Drosophila melanogaster: one gene and its partners. The protein of the gene in region 1 interacts with the protein of each later gene in a pairwise test. Each region holds a gene or a part of one and is shown on either strand. Other genes may lie near its edges. The genes, in order: modSP, Art4, CanB and CG17777.

Region 1 (6,324 bases):
ACATGTTCAGCTGATATTTGCACCGCAAGGGATTATGCTTTTGGTTTGCCTGGAGGAAGAAGAAGTCGGGTGGCGACTCTACGAGGAACTTTTTGGGATTCTAGATCCATGTATATCCATCTTGTACAGAAGCACTGACTCCTGTTTCAGTTTATCGGCCAGCCAATCCAGATTTGCCATAAGACTACTATTGACTTCAGCGCCATTTTGCAAGGAGTTGTAGAAGCAAATCGCTATATCATTATCACTGGCGTACATAAGTTCGTTCCAGCTATCAAGGCTTATATTCTCAACCTTGGGATCTCTAGCAGTGGGCTCCTCGGCTATCCCCTTAATCACCTGATCGCAGAAATCCCTTAGACTCTCCAGGTCGGGCAGTTTAGGCCCAGTGAAATCCCCAAAGAAGAATACCTTTCCAGTTGAATTTGCGGCGTATATCAGGGGAAATGAGTCCACTGTACATCCTTCGTCACTCCGAGAGAAGCTGAAGTCATCCTCATTGAAGATGAACGACTGCCACAGATCGTCCACGAAAAAGTCCATCTCGCCGCCAAGAAACCCAGGGGCAGCTAGTCGGTATACCACATCTATCCATTTGTCTAGCGCACCGATATCATCCGCAAACACATGAAGAACCACGAGGGTCGGTCGCCTGTGGATCTCCCACGATGATCGCAATTTTCCAAAATTGGGAAGTCGCTGCAGTCGGTCCTTGTATTTTTCGGGAAAAAAGGTTTTGAAGTTCGGCGGCGGCGGGTTGTAGCCGCAGTAATGTGCAGACATGTTTACATCATTCAATTGGCCAACCAAATGAAATTGCGGTGCGGTTGACTCATAATCAGCTGATTAGTCATAATAGTTGATTAAATACGATTGCAGTGGTGGGCTTGAGTTTCCGACTTATCGATAGGAATTAAGTTCGATTTTTGTTAGCCGGTCAAAATTTGAATCAAATTTCACTTAACCGGTATTGCTCAATAATTTGGTATTTCAAAATTTATGAAGTATCAATAAACATAATGTTGAGGATTAGAGGGTAAATAGCTTAGTGTGGCAATTGGCAATTGTCCTTTACAAAGAACTGACTTGAAATAACCTAATACACAATTGCCCTTTGAGATTCACCCTTCGCAATGTTTCGATAGAAAATAGGTTTGACGACTTAAATAAAATCTCTTAAAATAAATCTATTGTAATCACAATAAGTGCCCGGACTCAGGACCTAGTTTCCACGCTCCTGTTCATCGCATTCAGGATCATATCCTCGAAGTGCTGGATGTTGGTCATCACGGTCAGGCTGTGGGCACACTGATCTGCATTGGGTGCATTGCTGATCACCCCGAAGAGGAAGTGACGGGCGGTGTTCCAGGTGGAGAAGGCGTTGGTCGGCAGCTCGGAGGTGAATCCACCGCCACTGTCACCCTGGCAGGCGAGCGACTTGCCCTGCGTGAAGATGCAGAACTTGTCCGCCTGGATGTCCCGCAGATTCCGACGGCACACGGAATTCGACTTGGACACGGCCGGCACAAACTGGAGTTCGTGCTTGTTCTCGATGTTCCAGCCAGCGAACTTGCCCTGCACATCATCCGTGACGCTCTCCTTCTCTGCAAAGCTGGCGAAGGTAACGCAAATGGGCCGGATTACGTGGCTCAGCTCGAAGGGCTCGTCGAGGGTCAGAAGGGCCAGATCCTGGTAATAGTTTTCCGTCCTTCCTTTGTAGCCACTGCAGGTAATAAACCAGTGCTAAGAAACATGAAGGAGCCAGTTTCTTTTTACTTACGGTGCTATTTCTATGAGCCTCACATCCCGTCGCTTTTCTTCCGGAGTAGTTTCTCCGTAATTGCGATAGAACTTGGCCGCAATCACCCGGAAGGTGTCGTAGCTGTAGGGCAGTCGAGTACCCTCGTCGTATACGCAATGTGCGGCGGTTATGACTAGGTCCGGGGTGAGTAGCGATCCTCCGCACTGAAAGTGGTAGTCCTTCTCGTTGTGCCACACATATCTACACAGGGAATATCAATGAAATCATCGGGATGGATAGTTAGCAGACTTACAGTCCCACATGCCAGGGCACAACCGTGTTGTTGATCGTATAGCCGCCGGACGAGAACTGTTTTATGGGCGTGGCTAGCTGGCCGCAGTCCTGCTCGCATCGCTGGCGTCCGCGGTTCCAGTATCCTCCCTTCATGCACCGCATTTCTGGCAGTGGGCTCAGGGTCTTGAATCCGGTGGAGCAGACAAACTTCACTTCGGTGCCGGGCGGATGGAATGGTTTGCGGCATTCCACTTGCTGTCCATTGTGGGTGCACAAGGCCTTCGTGGAGTAGCCATCGAATTCTCCGGCAGTGCTGCAGTATTCTACGGAAAAGCAAGGAGTACATGTGAGAAATTATTACCAGGGAACGGGCAAAACACAGTCACTCACTCACGCATTTCGGGATTGTGGAAGTACTCCACTTGTTCTTGGCGCAGTAGCTGCTCTCCTCTCCCTCCAGCACATATCCCTGCTTGCAGGAGAATCGCACTGTTCCCCGGGTGATGGGTCCAGTGAGGACGCGGCTGCCGTCACCCGTCAGGATGGGCCTTTCGTCGCCAAGTGGCAAGGGGCATCCGAGCAGCTCCAGCGGAGTCTCAGTCACCACGGGTGTGGTCACCTTTTTGGTGGTGTTGCATAGCAGTGGTGCCTCATCGGATCCGTCATAGCAGTCGTTTTCCCCATTGCATGACAATGACCCCGAGATGCAGCCACCTGTTCCGCACTTGAAGGAGTACGCTGGACACTCCATGTGGCCGCACAGTTCCACCGACTCGTCAAAGCCCGTTCCATCCGCACAGTCGTCCTTGCCGTCGCACAGAAAGTTGCTCTTGTCCAGGCAAATTCCGGATGGGCATTTGAACTCATTTTCCCTAAAGGGGAAGAGAAGCAATTAATGTATCCATTCCTAGTCCTCATCCTGTTATCTACATTCTACATTTCAGTACTCACTTGCAATTGCCTTGAAGCCGTCGGTCGTGCTGCCGTATATCGTCCTCGTTGCCGCATCTCAACCTGGTCTCATCGGAACCATCTGCGCACTCATTGACTCCATTGCACCCAGCTGTCCCGATCACACATGCTCCATAGGTGCACTGGAAATAGGGCTTGGTGCAGTGCTGCCGCTGGGAGACACAGGTCAACGCCGTCTCATCGGATCCATCCGGGCAGTTCTTCTCGCCATTGCAGACATCGTACTGCGAAATGCAGCTGCCGTTGTCGCACTCAAACTGTGAGCTGTCACATGCCGCAAATACTTCAAAAATGATCCTTTCGATTATTATATTATAAGGACAATCGCGTGTTCCTTTACTTAATTGTTCTGATTGCGAAACCACATATATTGGAATCAAGTTTCATTCATTTAGAGCACTTTTACTTTTGGTTCTTAAATTTTTTAAGAGTAAGAGATTTGTTACTCATATATACTTAATATATAAACTACACTTTAAATTTAAGTTTAATGAAAACTTACGTTAAGTAACTTAGTAACTTTTCTCCCTACATTTACAATTTATGCAAATCGGCAGAAAAATTGATAATCCCTATTGCGCTTTTAATATTCTTTATTTTATTTTATTTTTTTCCTCATTTGATTATTGCGATTGTGTAATGTTGTATAGCTATTTTTCTTAGCATTTGAGTGGGTTAAGCTGCCTGTTAAAACTACCGCAGCTTAACTAAATTACCGCGTTTTTTATTATTTATTTCCGTAAACATTCTCTCTCCCTTCACACTTAGTCAGCACCCTGGAGTGTAATAAACAAACTGAAAATCGACAGAGATAAACAGATCGCGATTTCAAGATGAACCGGCTCAAATCGTGTTCTGAGAATCTCTCTTCGAGAACAACGCATTTACATATGTACATATGTACAGAAAGTGTTTATTTTCGTTCCATTTGTATTATCATTTTGAACTTTACTCACTTGTTCTGAATTTCAATAAAAGCGCGCAGAAGAACAATGGATTTGATAAAAACGATATTAGTTGCATAATCCTTATTTCTGATGCACTGTTATGCACTCGATCCAGGTGCACAAGGCAATCACATAGGTATGCCTAAAACAAGTGCGTGCTGATTAAAGTCGTCTGGAAAGCACTTGCCGCCGAGCTAAGAACGACTCCGACCGAGCTTACAAAGCGAACTGAGCTCCAATGTGTTCAAGCCGAATCTCATACCAATCTGAAAACACGTTTTAAGAGCACCTCATCAGTATCGATTGGAGTGCTTAGAGCTGCAGTTCATAATATAAGTCGAGTGAGTGTAGTATTTATATCTCATTTCATTCATCAATATCTATCGATATCGCAGAAAAATAAAATATGAAATTTCGTGTTCGCACTTCCACTAGTTGAGTATTGGGTATCTGATTGTCGGGGAAGTCGACTATAGCATTCTCTCGTGTATTAAACTTTTACCAAATTCATTTTGGAGACTTTTCTCTCAATGGTTTGAGTCCGCGCTAAAAGTGGGCGTTTAGCTAAATTCTTTTGAAAGAATTTAAGGAAATTAATTGAAAAATCAATTTCTTTTATTTTTAAAGAAGTAGTTTTCGAAATGTACCGATATCATTTTTTACATAAAAAGTCAGTCGTAAAAATTTATTCAATTAATAAAAACGCTTAAATAAAAATGACAATCTTATAAACACCAAAAAAAAATTTTACGTTTTTTTTAAATTCTCAATTTTTTTGGAAATTAAATTTTTTGACGCTAGTGCTGCCAGATCTTCGAAATAAGGATTGGCTTCCCCGTAATCTTTTTCAGATCGATATTCATTTCCATCCGTTCTACGCATAGCGTAAGATGTAGAAACTACGAAGTCTACATTACACGTGTGTAAAATATACCTTTACATTTGTATGGTTTGAATTTCCACTGAAAATTTTATTCCTGGATAGCACGGCAAGAAAAACTTAACGTTTTATTGGCTTTCTTGGAACAAGATACTTCCTAAGCCAAGAAAGTATGGCGCCAAATGGAGAATATTGCTATTAAAAATGTAGAACGAAGGACTGCTATTTTAAGAGTACCGCAAAACTATCCTTTCGAATTACCTACAATTCCGAAACCAACTATTTCACATTAATAATCCAAAGGCATCTTTTAAATTATTTAAATCGTTTTGTTTAATTTATTTGTTTCATTTTCCACATTCTCACTGGTTGCTGTTTGTTTTGTGTTTGTTCTTTTTACGTGTAGTTTATATTGATAATTTACAACTTACGGAGCTAACATAGAATGGCATTAAATTAGAGTTACATCGATTAAGTATGAACGGAGCCTGCGGGTCCAATCTTCGATCGCGGGGAGGGGAAATTACAAGTAGAAAATGTAACCGCAAAGTATCTGTAGGTCTGATCTGATCGGATGAAGTAGGTATATAGGAAAAGTAGTAGTCTCTTATGGATAGGCCTGCTCGGCCGAGGGTCAGAGAGTTTAAAGTAAAAGCCACTAGCAAATGTACAAGTAAGTAGCGATTATTTAACTATTTACTACGAATGCACTGGTAAGTAAGTAGTAGGTAAGTGGTCGGATGCAGTACTGTATGCAAGACCTCACCGAATCGTCTTCCTTTTACGTATATCTGTTGCTACGATAATCCACGTTTAAATATTTATGTATTGTATTTTAGCGTCTATTCTTGGTTTGCGGTGGCGGGGACATCCCATTCGATCCACGCATATGCGTTTAAAATCTATAACATTTAACTTATTCTTATTTACGTATTTGCATCTGCCTTCGTTCCGTTCCGCAGAATTACTCTCTTATTGTTTGTCCATTTCGACTCGATCCCCACATACATAAGTACATAAATATATATCAAGATTTATAAATATAATATATCTATAATCGAATCTTAGGCGGTAGTACGTATACATCTTCTGCAGGACCTCGTTACGAACGGCCCCAACTGGGACCACCATGGAAACTCAACTGAAGGATCAATTATCGGGACACACACACGGAGCGCCTTGTGGCTTGAGTCGAGCACAGCTCGTTGGATCCACTAAACTATATATATGGTATTGGTATCGGTATGGTATCGTTATAGCTAATCGGTATGGGTATCTCTATAGAGCGTACAACTCACGATCAATTAACGGCTCAAAACGAGATCAAAAGCAATTTCGCATGCAAGCGGGTAGCCCGCGAAGACTCTCTCAAACAACTCAGGCTCTAATTACACTGGGAGAACGGAAAATCGCAATGGCAGAACTAAAATAATAACACAACAATCGGATTCGATTTCTCATTGTTTTTTTTTTTTGTTTTCTTTAGATTT
Region 2 (6,115 bases), 6.7 Mb from region 1:
TCCTGCTCCATCTCCTCTAGCTCCTCGTCAGCATCCTCGTCAGCATCCGTGTCCTCCATGTGGCTGGGAGTGGTGTTCGTCGTCGTTGCTGCGCAGGCAATGGGCGCCACAATCACCGAGGTGGCCACACTGCGTATACGCACCGGCCGATTGCTAATTGTGTTGCTGTTGGCGGTGACCGCATACGGATGCGGTTGTTGTTGCTGCTGCTGCACCGGGCCACCGTAGCGCTTGTTGGTTTTGATGGTCAACGACGAGGGTAGCTGCTTGCCGGCAGCCACCTCGGCCGCCAAACGCACCACTGTGGTGGTCATTTTAGAGGACGTTGAGGATGTTGCTGCCGGGCTGGGAGTTGCTGATATTGCTTCTGGGTTGGGTGTTGCTGTTGCTGATGCTGATGATGATAATGCTGCTGATGATGCTGCTGTTGCTGCCTTGGACTGGTGCGCCGACGCCTGGTTTGCCGCCTCCGTCGACGACTTCTGTCGCTTTCAGTCGCCGAAGCGACTGCACGCCTTCTTCCACCGGCACTGGGTGCACCACTGGTCGCGTTTCTCCATGCCGTACACCTTGCGGCACTTTTTGTTCTCGCCACGCGTCCTCTTGCCGGGCGAATGGGGCGTATGCTTGACGGCTACCTGTTGCGCCATGTGCTGTTGCTGCTGCAGCGGATTGCTTCCGTTGCTGTGGTTGTTACTGTTGTTTTGGGCAACCATGTTGCCGGCAGTTGTCTGTGGATGCTGCTGCTGGTGGCCGCGCATCGGTTGGTGGTGGTGCTGCTGCTGCGCCGGATGGAAATTGGGCGTGATCGTCACACTGGACAGGAGATGTTGCTGCTGCTGTTGGTGGCTGTGTTGCTGCTGCTGCTGGTGGTGTTGCTGCTGCTGCAGTTGCTGCTGCTGCTGGCTGTGGTGCGCCGTCACTGTGACGTTCTGCTGCGACAGCTGCTGCAGCATGTTGTTGGCACTGCTATTGCTGTGGATCACTGGACTGCTGCTGCTGCTGCTGTTGCTGCTGCCGCTGCTGCCGGCGTAATTGTGGTGGTGCGTGTGTTGGTGGTGCTGCTGTTGCTGGACGTACGTCGGCGATGGATATGGCGCTACCGAGTGGGTCGGACGGGAGGACGACGAGCGAGCGTGCTTGCCGATCGGCGAGGCTGATGAACTGGCCGCCACCGACCCCGTCCCCGTGGAGGAGTAGCTGCCCACTGTCGCCGTCGCCGCCGGGCATGTGTAGTTGTGGTGGGCTAGGTGCGAAGTGGGGATGCAGCTGGTGTTGTTGTTCTGCAGCTGCTGCTGGTGGGTGCTCGGGATGTTGCTGCCACTGATGGTGCGTCCGTGCGACTGCGCTAGATGGTTATAGTGGCTACCGCCGCGTCCTTGCCTGGAAAATCGAAAAAGGATAATGTCATTAAATGTATCTATATCGTGCACCAAGAGAACCCACTTGAAGTTGCCAACAATCTGCTTCTGGTACTCGGGATCCTCGTGCGGCGGACGCGCCATGTCCCGGTGACTCAGAGTCGGCTCGGAGGCCAGAGTGGGCTTCACCTGCTCGACGTCGTCGTCGGCATCCTCGAGGTAGAAGTCCTCCTCATTTCCGTCATCATCCGCGGAGCGATGGGAGTCCTTTCTGCAATGCCACCGAAAAATAGCGAAATTGATTAGAAGGATGTGTCAGTGATGGCAAGTTTGCTTCAGTTATGTACCTAGGTTCGGTATTACTTCAAATCAGATTGATAGCTTTTAAATTAACGAACTTAAGTTGTCTAACGTTGTTTATTCGATTTAATTCAATTCAAACAAATAGGAAAAATATTTTAAAATGAATGCTAAAAATTGCTGTTAAACTTTGGTCAATATTTATTAAGGTACCTCATTTAGGTACCTACTCTCCATTTCAAGCGACCGCTTTTTTGTACTAGCGTTGCCAACTAGCCGACCACCCACATTAGGTTCGAGGCCCTGCTAGAAGTGTTCCAGAGTTCTGAACCTTGATTCTATCCACTTAAAAAACTATATTATTTCTTTTTACATTTCTTTTCCCCGCACTATTTTTTTTCAATTATATTTCAAAATGAAATTGAGATTGATGCAAGCTTCCTTGCATACAATTCTTTTGTAAATCTCACTAGACTGAAAAATCGCTTAGTCTTAAGGTAGTGCGCGGTAATAATCCTATCGAAAAGCATCGGACTTGGTCCCACCTCTAGCCTCAACTATTTGTTCCAGCTCTAGCACTTTTTGCAAAAAAGAACGCATGTTCCGTGTGAAATCAATACGAAATCAACAAGAGCGATCGATTTTGAGTAATCGTCCGAGTTGAAAAGCAGCGCACTATATAGTTCCCAGCGCCAATTAATCCAGCTGCCCGAGTCACCAGCCATTTTGTGTGTGGTGGAAAATTTTGCAGATAGAAAAAATTGCGCGTCTGTCTGTCTGCATCTGCGTATCTGTGTGTGTGCGTGTGCTAGAGTGTTTGTGTGTGTGCGTGCGTGCGTGTGTATAGCGAGGTCTACATTGTCAATTAACAAGGGAAAAAAGACGCTTGTGGTCCTGCTTTGTTCCTTTGCCTCTTTACCCTCCAAAAAGCCAGCCAACATGTCCAGCCTGCGACCCGAGGAGGCCCGAAAACTGGCCACCGCCGCCTCCGTTTCGCCGCTGAGCAATTGCCAATTTTGCGGCGTGGTAATCAGCTCGATTGCCGACGAGCAGAAGCTAGAGTTTACCAACAAATACAAGGGAAGCTGCACGCTGCTCTGCAGCTACGATTCCCAGGGTGTCGTCCTCCGTGTTGTGTCAGGTAAAAGAGGACATCGAATGTTTCATAAAACCCGTTCCTTATATCGCCAATCTCTCCACCAGACGACGACCGGAGCCACGTGCTCAAGGAGTACATGATAGCCGCCGATACGGATGCCGCCCAAATGGGACGAAGGAGTTATGCCGTTTCCCTGGACGCCGACAATCTAGTGCTGAGGTTTGCCAGCGAGCAGGACCAGCAGCTCTTCCGCAAAGTGGTGGAGAACGTGAAGCACTTGAGACCCAAGTCCGTGTTCTCGCAGCGCACTGAGGAGTCGTCCGCCTCGCAGTACTTCCAGTTCTACGGCTACCTCAGTCAGCAGCAGAACATGATGCAGGACTATGTAAGGACAAGCACGTATCAGCGGGCCATTCTAGGCAATGCTGTGGATTTTCAGGACAAGATCGTCCTGGATGTGGGCGCCGGCTCGGGCATTCTCTCCTTCTTTGCCGTGCAGGCGGGAGCTGCCAAAGTGTACGCCATTGAGGCTTCCAACATGGCCCAGTACGCCCAGCAGCTGGTTGAGTCCAACAATGTGCAGCATAAGATCTCTGTGATACCGGGGAAGATCGAGGAGATCGAGCTGCCCGAGAAAGTGGACGTTATCATATCAGAGCCTATGGGCTATATGCTGTACAACGAGCGCATGTTGGAGACCTATCTGCATGCCAGAAAGTGGCTCAAGCCGCAAGGAAAGATGTACCCCACGCACGGCGACTTGCACATAGCACCCTTTTCGGACGAATCGCTCTACTCGGAACAATATAACAAGGCCAACTTCTGGTACCAGTCGGCGTTCCACGGCGTTGACCTTACCACGCTGCACAAAGAGGGCATGAAGGAGTACTTCCGACAGCCCATTGTGGACACCTTCGACATCCGCATATGCATGGCCAAGTCGGTGCGGCACGTGTGCGACTTTCTCAACGATAAGGAGGACGATCTGCATTTGATAAGTAAGTACCCGAAAAAGTGATTTGCGACAATGGCCAACTGTTGACTTTCCGCAGGCATCCCCCTGGAGTTTCACATTCTGCAAACTGGCATCTGCCATGGGCTGGCCTTTTGGTTTGATGTGGAGTTTAGCGGCAGCAGCCAGAATGTGTGGCTCTCAACGTCGCCCACAGCGCCTCTGACACATTGGTATCAGGTTCGCTGCCTTCTGCCCATGCCCATCTTTATTAAGCAGGGCCAGACGCTGACCGGCCGTGTCTTACTGGAGGCCAATCGGCGGCAGTCGTATGACGTGACCATCGACCTACACATCGAAGGCACGCTGATTTCGTCGAGCAACACCCTGGACCTTAAGAATCCGTATTTTCGGTACACGGGGGCCCCGGTCCAGGCACCGCCGGGGACTAGTACCCAAAGTCCATCTGAGCAGTACTGGACACAAGTGGACACGCAAGGATCACGCAATTGTAAGAACAAATCCTTGATATAATAATCTCATTGCTTATGTGATTATAATTTCTATAGCTTCAAGCATGCTAAATGGAGGGATCAGCGTGAACGGAATAGGCGAAGGCATGGACATCACTCATGGACTTATGCATCCGCACTAGGGGGGCGGTGGATCGAATAACAATACATCTTTCTGGGAATTCCCTTTGCTCTAAGTCCGCTCACTTTCTACGCTTGATCCTAATTTTGCCAATTTTTGTTTTGTTACAGTTTATGATTAGGTTATTTATTGAAAAGTGTAAAATATTTTTATCTATTTTCGAAAGTTAGTTCTGTTCTGTTTTGCATACCTTTTAACAACCTCTTTCCCTATCGTGCTATACTTATCCTCCCTTCTCTTACCCATTTAATCGATCGGACAAATCGAAGGAAATCCAGCATCCCAGCAAGTAACCAACATACAAACAATCAACAAATCAAGGCAGACTAATGTAGTTGTTTAGAACACGCAGCATATTAATAAGCCTAAGCTAATTTAAGCCCATAGTAATTAGAGTTTTTAACGTATGTGAATTGTAATACCGATATTTAGCCCGCACGGGACTGCGCTTCAGGAAGTTTATTAGTTAATATGCCGATTGCCAATTGCAGATTTTGCCGTAAGCTTTGAACAAACCAACAAATTCAGATTGTACTGTATCTATTATGTGTGTTATTATACTATATATTGTGTGTACCTCCAGCTAGTTTCAATTTTTGTACTTGTCGACCGTGTTTATGTTTAGTTCGTTTCAAAATGTAAGAAATTGCTCATAGGATTTAGTGCTAAGCTACGATATCATTACTAAAGGCCGACCTGGGTCGAGAGATTATACTTATACCCCCAATACGATTATGATTAATTCAGTTCAGTGGAGGCACACCTCGTTCGATCCTAAGTTACGCATCCAAGCCCAGATCCTGTCATAGACCCAACTATATCGCTGCCAGCAAGCCGAGCGCTATATAAGCATATACACCTAGATATACGCGTTAGGTACGCCAACCTATACACACCCCGACATTCTCGCATTCGTATCCTGTTTGCGGACTGTACTTTATAGAGCAGCAAGTAGAAACACAAAAACACTACAACACCCAATACACTGCAAACATAAATATAAAGCAAAACATATACAATTATATATATATATATATATATACGAATAGATATACCGCATGTATGCAGATGAGAGAACAATGTCAAAGCAAAAGCAGCAAAAAACAAAGCCCCACCGCGTCTTTTATTTGTGCACCCCCACTTGGAACCCCTCTCGATTTACATAGGAAACGAGATTGGCAAGTGTCAAAGCTCAGCGCGGATCGTGTGTGGGCGCTTTGAATTGGACCTTGGCCTCAAAAGCGCCACCACCACTGCACCTGCCACCCACTGCTGCTATTGCTGGCCTGCTGCTGCAGGTGCGCATTGCAAAGTAATCTGCGTGCTGGAGAGGGGCTACGCCGCACTCGTGTGACCTGCTTACTGTGCTCGAGTGCTCTACTTTCGAGGCACCACCAACACCACCTTCAGCACCCGCTCCGGGCGTGTGGAAGTGCTGGCGGGGAAGGAACGAGAAGGTCGGGTGGCTAAGTCAAGGCCCCGCCCACTTGCTGCTCGCCACCTAATCCTCTGATAGCAGTGCCATTCCCACTTGTACACTTACCCCAAATGTGTTTTCCTAATGTGACGCACGACTCCATTGAGATCGTCTACCACGCCAACACATCCTCGATAGACGCATCGGAACTTTTTGGACTGCAATGACAAGAGAAGGTGATTCTGATTAGATTGATTACATATTACATATTATTAGTTTGCTCTTGAATATAAATATTAATTAAATATATCCTTTAATATCTAGCGTACTTG
Region 3 (4,992 bases), on another chromosome or scaffold:
ATTCTCGCACACTGGCGCACACAAAGGACCCTCGCAGGACCTCCCTAGTTCACTAATACTGTGGCCCAATCGCCCAGCAGGTGACTCCGTGGTCAAGGCTCTGTTACCGTACAAGTTCTACGCGGACCCAACAGCTAGTTGGCTGGCTTCCTGTTGTCCACACTGCGAGAAATTCTTGTTGAGTTCGGTACCAAAAATGTGGGAAATATATAAAATAGTATTCTGCGGCAGCAGGGATGATCTTCTCCAACTGATTTGTATTGAACAACATGGCGTATACGTAACATTTTTTTAAGTGTTTTATATCAACATGGATTATCATCTCTTAATGCTTTGCGATATTTATGTTCTATTTTAAATCCACAGGAAGGCTCCGCATTCGCAAATTTGTACTGAACAACGTGGCGTATACGTAATATTTATGTTTCATTAGTAGATAGATGTTTTATATCAATGGATAAACTTTTCCCACTCATTTGTGACATTTCTGCTCTATACTAAGGTAATTTTAATCTCAACATGGATGAACTTCTTCCACTGCTTTGTTCTAAACAACGTGGCGTATACGTAACATGTATGTTGGTGTGTCTTGTCACATGAGGGACGTCACACACACACACACGTGTAGTTGGAAAATCGGTGACCTACAAAACATTTAATCGTTGCCAACGGCCAAAAAGTTTTCGGTTACTTTCGGCCGGTGGCTTCCTTCCCACATTTTGTGGTGACCATCTTCTACGGGGTCGGCTTTCGGGAATCCGGAATTTCGGGCGCCGAGCTGAACGACACGCACGTGTTCTTCGTCCAAGGACTCGCGGACCGTGGAACTCTGAGGGCATCTGAACCCGCCGGCCAAAGAACCCAGCCCACATTCGTCCACCTCCCATCAACAGATAGTGGTAGTACAACGAAAAATCACCAAGTAAACGCTTGTTGGGGGTTTTGAGTTTAGCTTTGCGATAAACAGTGTTTAATTGTAGTTGTTGTTGTAGTTTTCTTTTGTCAATTTTTTTTTTTTTTTTTTTTTTGATTTTTTTACATATCTTATACACAACATTTAGTCGAGAGATGAACTTAAGTGTTAGGCTTGAATTGAACGTAGAGTTTAGGATATAGTACAAACTAGTTTAAGATGATGCGAACAATCCCAATCGTAGAGCTGTTCGAACCTCGAAAGTATGTCATTTCGAATGGAAGGAGGAATGGAAGGAGGGGTATAGATGAGTTCTTTGGTTGAGTGGTCCGTTGCCGGTGGTTTCAAGTATGAGTATAAGACACAATTCATTGCATTCTGTGGATGATAGAGATCGATCGGTTTGGATCGTTTGGAACAAAGTGTACTCTATATATATGCGATAGGTATCAATAAATTGAGTAAACTGCTTCGTTTTTGGCACGCCTCAAACGCCCTCACAGACTCACAGACAGACCGTTTATTATAAAGCTGAACATGTTTCAAGGGAAGTGAAGGTACACACACACACACACACACTCATTACGGAAAATCGGCTATACATATTGTATCATATCTACAATTGTATATATATAGTACTCATTATGTGGCTCAATCTAAACATCGACAACCATTTTCTTGTGAATATCGGTATTGCCCACCACCGAGCAGAATTCATCGAACGATATCTTGCCATCCTCGTCCTTGTCCGCAAAGCAAATGGTCTTGTCCACGATCTGCTGCAGCTGTGTGTCCTTCAGATTGTTGCCCACCATCATCTTGAGCACCTGGAAGAGTTCCCCGTTCGAGATGTAGCCATCATTGTCCATATCATAGATGCGGAAGGCGAATCGCAGCTTGGACAGCTTATCGCCGCGCACGCTAAACTGCGACACTCCCTGGATAAACTCCTTGAAGTCCACCTCCCCGTTTCCATCCGCATCGAAGATATCGATAACCCGCTGCACCAGCGGATTCTGCTGCAATTCCGGCAGCGACATGAACTCATCTATGCTCAGCGCACCCGAGTTGTCCAGATCCAGCTTGCGGAATCGCTTGCCCAGCCTACGGATCTCGTCCGCATCGAAGTTGGAACACATGTCCATGGGCAGGGAGGTCTCGTTACCCATGCTGGCCTTTGGTTACTTAGTTCTCTGGTCTAGATCTGCGAATGGAACGCAAGCGTTAGAAGGCAGGGCATTCTGCTCTACGGAGAAAAAGATGATTCCAAATGAATTTCGATAATAAAAAAAAATATATCATCAGAGAATTGAGGAACATTTGAGTTACCAATGAGAAAAATTAGAAGGATATTCGGTATGTGCAAAAACTGATGCATACTCCCAGGCTGCCCAATGTTCCACTTCTCACTGAATAGCTTCGAAATCATTTGGATTGCACTTTTTCTCAGCGTTTTCAGCACGACTTTCTTACCCAAAATTTTTGTTGTTAATAACTCAATTTTTCAACGACTGGCACGCTCTAAAAAAAAAAAGGGGGGGTGAAGTGCAAGTTAGCAGCATACTTTTAATTATGGCTCAATCGTATCGATTTTTCCAAATTCCACAACTTTTCACCACTCGTTTTCGCTTCAGCAAGGTTGGAGTGGAATCTCTGCAGTGGCACAAATCCGGATGGAACTGCGTTGGCCAGGATGCTTGGGTGAATCGCATTGCGAAAACGCAAGTGGTAGCCATAGATATTTACCATAAATAAACAATAGTTGCGCTGGATTGTTAAATTCCCAAAAAAAAAGCTCTCTACTCGCTCGACAGCAAATACACGACTGCAGGCGAGTGAGAGAGTTTTCACCGTTAGCTCTCGCCAACGAGTGGGAGAGCGCGGAGAGCGCAGCTGTCAAAAGCGGACAGCTGTTGCTTTTCCACCTGTTTTTTTTTTTGTTCTTTTCGGGGGCTGCAAATTGGTTTTCCACTTGTGCACTTTCGCTATCTTTTTAGTCTTTTTAATGCATAGTTTTGGGCGTAAACGGGTTTTCTTCGCTTAACCATAGCATGCCTATGGGTGGAAAGTCCTTGTAGTACCGTGCTATGCGTTAGTACATTTTTTGTGAATTTCTGCTAGAGATGGACCATCGCATTAGCCCAGAGGTGGTTTATTTGATAGTTTTTTTTAAATGAACATGCGATAGATCTATTATAATATCAATATTTATTCCTTGGGCTCTTTTTTCAAAATGGTCCAAACTAATCACTTATTTTGAATTTGTCGAATTTTTGATAACGAGCATATTCGATTAACAAAGTACAAAAATATGATACTTGCACATTACAAGCAATTTAAGTAATAAAGTCGTATACAAAATATGAGATGAGGTTAGAAATGGCACCTAATCGATTTGTTTCTTCTTTAGCTCCAGATAATCCTCTTCATCGGTACTAACTTCGTATATATCTTGCGATTTCGTCTTTACTGTAGTCCTTAGTTTGGCTTTCTTCGTTTTGTTTTCTAAAAGCAAACAATAAAATATCTAAAAAAAAACAGGGCAGAACAACAGAGAGTTTACCCTCAGCCACGCGCTGCAGTTCATCTTCCGTATCAATGCCCGATAAGGCATCTGGATTCATTTCCACATCATTCTGATCCGCTAGAGCTGTTAGCTTGCTATCCTCTAGCATTGCCACATCATCCTTGCTGGAATCGCGCCGTGGCCTCGTCGCCTCATCGCAAAGCTCCTCATCGCTCTCCGGCTGGCCAATGTCATTGGTATCCAGGGCGTAACGTCGCCATGGCAGGTACTTCTTCAGCTCATAACATTTCTCGATCCAACTGCGTGTCACAATCTTGCCCTTGCCCTTCACTTGATTGTATTTCGGTGTGTTTTTGAATGCGCATCTGTTTGGGTTTCATTTTAAGAATTAGCGGGCGCATACTAGATCAATCTGGACTTCACTTACATCAGATGGGTACATCCTGATCCCCAATCAGCCTTATACTTGGCTCCCAAGGCGACCGCTTTCGAACGCAAGTCTGCACGATCGGGATTCTGAAAGCAGAAGGGATGGGTTTAAATCGAGTTGTGATGCAATCAAAAGAATTTCCTTGCCTGTATGCCACTGATGACCAGGACCACACCCTTGAGTAACTGATTAAGGGGACGGTATTGAATCGCTGTGTCCACGATCTTTTGCTTTTTGGCGGGCGTTACTGCGACTGCGGTGGGAGATGAATGTCGCTTTTGCGCAGTTGGGCGCGAACTTTCCTTGGAATTCGAGGTGTCCGAAGATCTGTGATCATGCTTAGATTTCTCCTTCCTCCTGGACTTCTCCTCCTTCGAATGCGATCTTTCCTCTTTTCGTAATTGCTCTTTCTCTTCTTTGGCTGTGGATTTTTCTCTGGAGGACGAATTGTGCTCCTTTGCCGGTGGTTTGTCTTCTTTGCTGATTGACTTATCCAAGGAGTGCCTGCTTGACTTTTTCTTTCTGCTCTCCCTCTCCTTTTCCTGCTCCAATCGCCGTCGATCCTTGTCCGCCTCCAGATGCTTGCTCAGCCGTTGTTTCTTTGCATTGACCTCAGCGTCCTTCACGTCCTCATCATCGTCGCCGAACAAGAGTGAAGCTCGATTGCGATCCAGGGGCTTGGCATCCAATGGCGTCGGAGAAACCGATCGCAGAGCATTGAGAACTGGTGATGGCGACGTCGAGGTTTTGGGCGATGCAGCCAGGCTAGAAACCTTGCCAGCGCTCAGCCTTCGCAGGGCCGTGGAGCCGGCGTCCCGAATGGCCGCTGCTGTGGAGGTCGCACTGATCGCGGGCGACTTGTGCTGCGTCTGCTTCTTCCAGCTGTGAAATCTGTTCACTTGATTGTCCGTTTCCGAGTCCGGCGACTCCTCGCGCAGCTTAAAGGTCCCGAATTGCATAACACCCTGCGGCACTAGGGATTTGACCTTAGGCGCCGCAGCAGCCACTACATGCACCTTGACGAATGAGAGCCCGTATGGCACATGACGATTGAAGGGCTGTGTGCAGACTATCTGAAGCAGCTTCCACTTCTCCGGCAGTGCACTCTCCGCCAGCGAAGTG
Region 4 (3,931 bases), on another chromosome or scaffold:
GAAGATGACATAAGCGACATATAACCTTGCAAACTATTATTATTAGCAGCTAGGTAAGTGGAGCATGCAATGGGTTATTATACTTGTTTACGTATACAAATTGTTATGATAAATGGAATGTGAAATGGGGGGGGGGGGGGTGGGCTTTGAGTGCAGCTGCGCTATGTTTTCATAACGCGATAAGCGGTCAGGATTACACTCCTCCCCTAGCCCCATCCTCCTCCTCCACCTCTTGCAGTTGGTCCTGCTCCTCCGGCTGGGTATCAACGGTATCGTTGGTGTCCGCATTCAGGTCCACCCAGTTGTCATCGCTGATTTCGTCAATGGTATCCGTGTCATCCACTACGGCCGCCACGCTCACGTCATCCGTGGAGCCGGAATTAGTGGTGCCAGTGGTTGTGGTGGCCGTGACGGCGGACGAGGGTCTCAGTATCTCCTCCTGAGTGGCCGGAGTCGGGGTCGTCGACGTGGTGTACGATGCGGAGGAGGGTGTCTCCGAACGGTAGCCCATTCCCGTAATGTACGACCCGGACCCAGAACCCGAGCCCGATCCAGACCCTGATCCGGATCCCGATGCGGTTTCCGTGGCCGTTTCCGTGTTGGAACTGCAACTTGCCGTTGTTCCCGAAGTGGAGGCGTCGTCTCCGGGGAGGGCGTCCTGAGAAAGCCTAGGTCGCGGGGCGCCCTTTAACTTGTTCTTTTGGCGGGCAACCTCATAGTCCTTGAGATCGGACAGCTTGAGTGTGATTTTCTGCAGATCGCGCTTCAGCATCTCGAAGTCGAATTCCTGATTTTTGCTGATGATCCGAAAGACTGGTGGTCACGCGCCGATCGCAATTAGAACAGTGACTTTTGTATAACAGTCACTGGGCCAATAGCGGCTTTATACCTTCACTGGCCCCCATAGAGTGACCGAAAATCACTTTTACTGTCATACATATGCAATGTAATCGATTCTTTATTGTTGAGTAGGATTTAACTTTGTTTACATATGTACATATATCATATTTGTACTACATCCAACCCAAATTCAAAGACATGCGAGTAATGTATTCGCTATTTGCAGTACATTTATATTGCGGTGAATGATGGGGGAAAACCAGTACATATACATATACGAATGATGGTGCAGTGATGAGCATGGAGCGATCGAGAAAAAAAAAACAGTATGCATTACGATCTTGGGGATAGGTAGTGGTCCTAGTAGAAGCCGTAGTGGCCATGGTGGTACGGATAGTAGCCGTGGTGTCCGCCGTAGTAGGGCGCCGCATGGACGTATCCGTAGCCGCCGTAGTAGGGACTGCTCAGTCCACCGTAGCCGCCGTAGTGACCGTGTCCATAGGCACCGTATCCGCCGTATCCGCCGTAGCCGCCATAGCCGTGGCCGAACCCGTAGATGCCTCTCTTCTCCGTCTTCTTCTCATCCACGGCGGATGGCTCCGGCTCCAGAGCTTCAGGAGCAGGCTCCGAAACTGCTGCCCAGGTGCTCATGAAGCAAATGGCCAGGATGACGAACACGCACTGCACAGAGAAAAAAAGGTTCGGTATATGAAACATTTGAAACGATGTTAACAAATGATTTGTTTCAAATTGTAGCCAGAGCACTTCCAGCAATTTTAAATAACTTGTATTTTGTTGGATAAACTGTCACTCAAAAAAAAGTCCACTCGTTTGCTTGACCGGTGTCCTGGTATCCTGGTATCCTAATGTCCTGGTGTTGCTGCTTACCAAGAACTTCATGTTGCTGCTGCAGATGTTGCTAGTGGCTGTTGGCTGGTTGACTTGATGGGTAGGGCGCCAGGCGAGGTTTGTTGATGGCTGCCAGTGGCCCGACGCTTTTATAGTCACCCGGCTTGGCTTATTGTTGCCAGTTGCTGCTACAGTTGCAATTATGCAAACTGACAATAACGGCGGCAGCAGCAGCAGCAGCAGCGATTGTTGCAGCTGAATTGAATGCATGACGGGTTGAGGACTTGAAACCGAATATTGTTTATGCTGCGGAGCCAAAAGGTCATCCATCCGCTCATCCGGCGGAGGAGAACTTGGCGGAGGATTGCAGTGGGGGGAGTGAGGTGGAGTGGGCGTGGAAACTAACGATATCGGTTATAATTGCCAGCGTAGTCGAAATTCTAAGATCCCAGGCTCGTTGGGTAACCGAAGTGGGGCAGCAACGCGATCCACAAGCAACGTGCAACACGAGACACTCGACGCGTTCCACAATCACCAAGTGCCCCTCTCGTACACGGTATGCATATCGTGTAACACTTTCACTGCCAGATCGGATGGCCAGCAGCGCCCAAAAGGCGCACTATTACCTAAGCTCGTTCAGAAGCTGGCCAAATGCTGGGATGCCACTGGCCCCGTGGGAATCGCATATGCGCGCCAGCATTATACACAAATTACAAACAATTGCACGTTTGGCAGCGTTTTGGCATTTTAATTAAGCTGCCAGACAGCTGAGATCTCTGCCAGATCATTTCCAATGCAAAGTCTTATCGACAGAATATCCAAAGTGCACGACTTTGACGGAGACCTCTGGCTTAAGGGGTATATTGGGACAAGGATCGGTGACCAGGTCAATGGTCATTAGTTTTAATGGGCTTGAAACTAGGTTGAAGAGATCTTCTATTCAGAGGAGCACAGCTTTTGCTTAATATACTAAAGTTTTAAAACAATTTGATAGCCATTTGGGCAGACGACTCTGTTCTGCGCGTTCCATTATTCTCGATCACTTCCGTCTGCCGGGGGTACTTGCTACCCAGTACCCAGTGCCGTGCCCACACAATAAAGGACGACCTTGACCGCAGTGGCAATTGCAAATCGCAATTGCAGTCTGCTGCGGCTGTTGCTTTTGCTGCTCCGAGTTCCCAAGTCATGAATGAAGCAACGCCGGAGGCAACATTGTTGAATGAAGCATGCAAAAGATTTTCCCAATCGACGACGTCTCGCCATCTCTGGCCAAAAGTGGGTGGCACCGCCATTGTCTCCTTCTCCCCGCGGTTGTTTTCGTATCCACATCGTTTAATATTTATGCTCTGCCCATTGGAGGTGAATGCACGCGAGACGCGTTGGGCAAGCGGAAGACCAAGCAGCCAAGGGGTTTGGTCTATGGACTGGGACCTGGTCACGATCCGGAGATGACAACATATTTGATTGCCAGCTAAATTATAATTCTTGACTAAGTCTAGTCCGCCGAACGGGTCGATGTCCATGTCGCTGTCGATTGATTGATTTCCCATTGTAGCCGACCAGTTTGATTTACGGCCCAGACGGCTAATTGCGCATTGTTGGCTTGGTTCCAGGGTTAGATCTTGAATCTGGAATCTTACAATCCCACCGGGCCTGCCGACGGTCCTCCACTTTGGCCAGCTGTCCGAGGTTACACAACAACAACCGGCGTTGGCCGTTTTCAGCTGAAAATGCTTACATTTCCTTACAGTTTATTGCGCTTAACAGACATTTAACAATTAAAGGGGCGGAGGAGGGCGCGCCTAGTACTTCAGTTCCTTGGCCTTGTCGTGGGCTCCCTCGTCCAGGAGCTTCAGCTCCGCCTGCTGCTTCTCCGGTCGGATGACCGTGCAGTAGTGGTAGTAGCGCATTCCCAGGATGTAGGTGCCGTACAGGGTGACTCCAATGCAGGCATACACCGCGCCGCGGTGCAGCTTGTCCAGCAGCGTGTTGGTGTTAATCGGCTTCTTCTGCATGGCGGCAAATCCCTTCCAAGTCCATAAAAGTTTCCGGCAGTCGAGTCCGTCGCCTCAGCTGGTCTGTCAGTGATGACGGCGGCGAATGTATCGATAATTGGGCGTACATTTACTAGCCAAAATAAAGATGAAGACAGTCGAATGAGTACTATATTTTTAAGTGAATTTTAGGAAATCGTTCCAAATGTCCCATTTAGCTTTGAGTCTCACTCGTTTAACGTCGTTTT

The links.
Region 2: the proteins of modSP (region 1) and Art4 interact in a two-hybrid assay, tested with the Drosophila melanogaster proteins (one large-scale study listed by BioGRID).
Region 3: the proteins of modSP (region 1) and CanB interact in a two-hybrid assay, tested with the Drosophila melanogaster proteins (one large-scale study listed by BioGRID).
Region 4: the proteins of modSP (region 1) and CG17777 interact in a two-hybrid assay, tested with the Drosophila melanogaster proteins (one large-scale study listed by BioGRID).

The regions. Positions count from the first base shown.
Region 1 is NT_033777.3:16,651,477-16,657,800, forward strand, and holds modSP (modular serine protease), read right to left. Parts: upstream 4,187-6,324; 5' UTR 4,031-4,186; coding exon 3,964-4,030; intron 3,291-3,963; coding exon 2,987-3,290; intron 2,908-2,986; coding exon 2,426-2,907; intron 2,359-2,425; coding exon 2,055-2,358; intron 2,003-2,054; coding exon 1,781-2,002; intron 1,724-1,780; coding exon 1,216-1,723; 3' UTR 970-1,215; downstream 1-969.
Region 2 is NT_033777.3:9,982,165-9,988,279, reverse strand, and holds Art4 (arginine methyltransferase 4), read left to right. Parts: upstream 1-2,219; 5' UTR 2,220-2,600; coding exon 2,601-2,802; intron 2,803-2,864; coding exon 2,865-3,758; intron 3,759-3,812; coding exon 3,813-4,223; intron 4,224-4,281; coding exon 4,282-4,367; 3' UTR 4,368-5,464; downstream 5,465-6,115. Other genes in the region: Glut4EF (glucose transporter 4 enhancer factor), read right to left, coding at 492-1,383, 1,447-1,632, 5,910-6,001. UniProt on the Drosophila melanogaster protein: Methylates (mono- and asymmetric dimethylation) the guanidino nitrogens of arginyl residues in proteins. May methylate histone H3 at 'Arg-17' and activate transcription via chromatin remodeling. Coordinates ecdysone-mediated expression of cell death genes.
Region 3 is NC_004354.4:5,330,495-5,335,486, reverse strand, and holds CanB (calcineurin B), read right to left. Parts: upstream 2,989-4,992; 5' UTR 2,969-2,988; intron 2,746-2,968; exon of another isoform or gene 2,660-2,745; intron 2,435-2,659; 5' UTR 2,387-2,434; intron 2,118-2,386; 5' UTR 2,083-2,117; coding exon 1,570-2,082; 3' UTR 1,038-1,569; downstream 1-1,037. Other genes in the region: XRCC1, read right to left, coding at 3,300-3,418, 3,477-3,805, 3,868-3,956, 4,017-4,992. UniProt on the Drosophila melanogaster protein: Calcineurin is a calcium-binding and calmodulin-binding protein found in all cells from yeast to mammals, and a calcium-dependent, calmodulin-stimulated protein phosphatase.
Region 4 is NC_004354.4:2,184,738-2,188,668, reverse strand, and holds CG17777 (uncharacterized protein), read right to left. Parts: upstream 1,815-3,931; 5' UTR 1,741-1,814; coding exon 1,729-1,740; intron 1,522-1,728; coding exon 1,201-1,521; 3' UTR 928-1,200; downstream 1-927. Other genes in the region: CG3457 (uncharacterized protein), read right to left, coding at 194-772; CG17776 (uncharacterized protein), read right to left, coding at 3,492-3,704.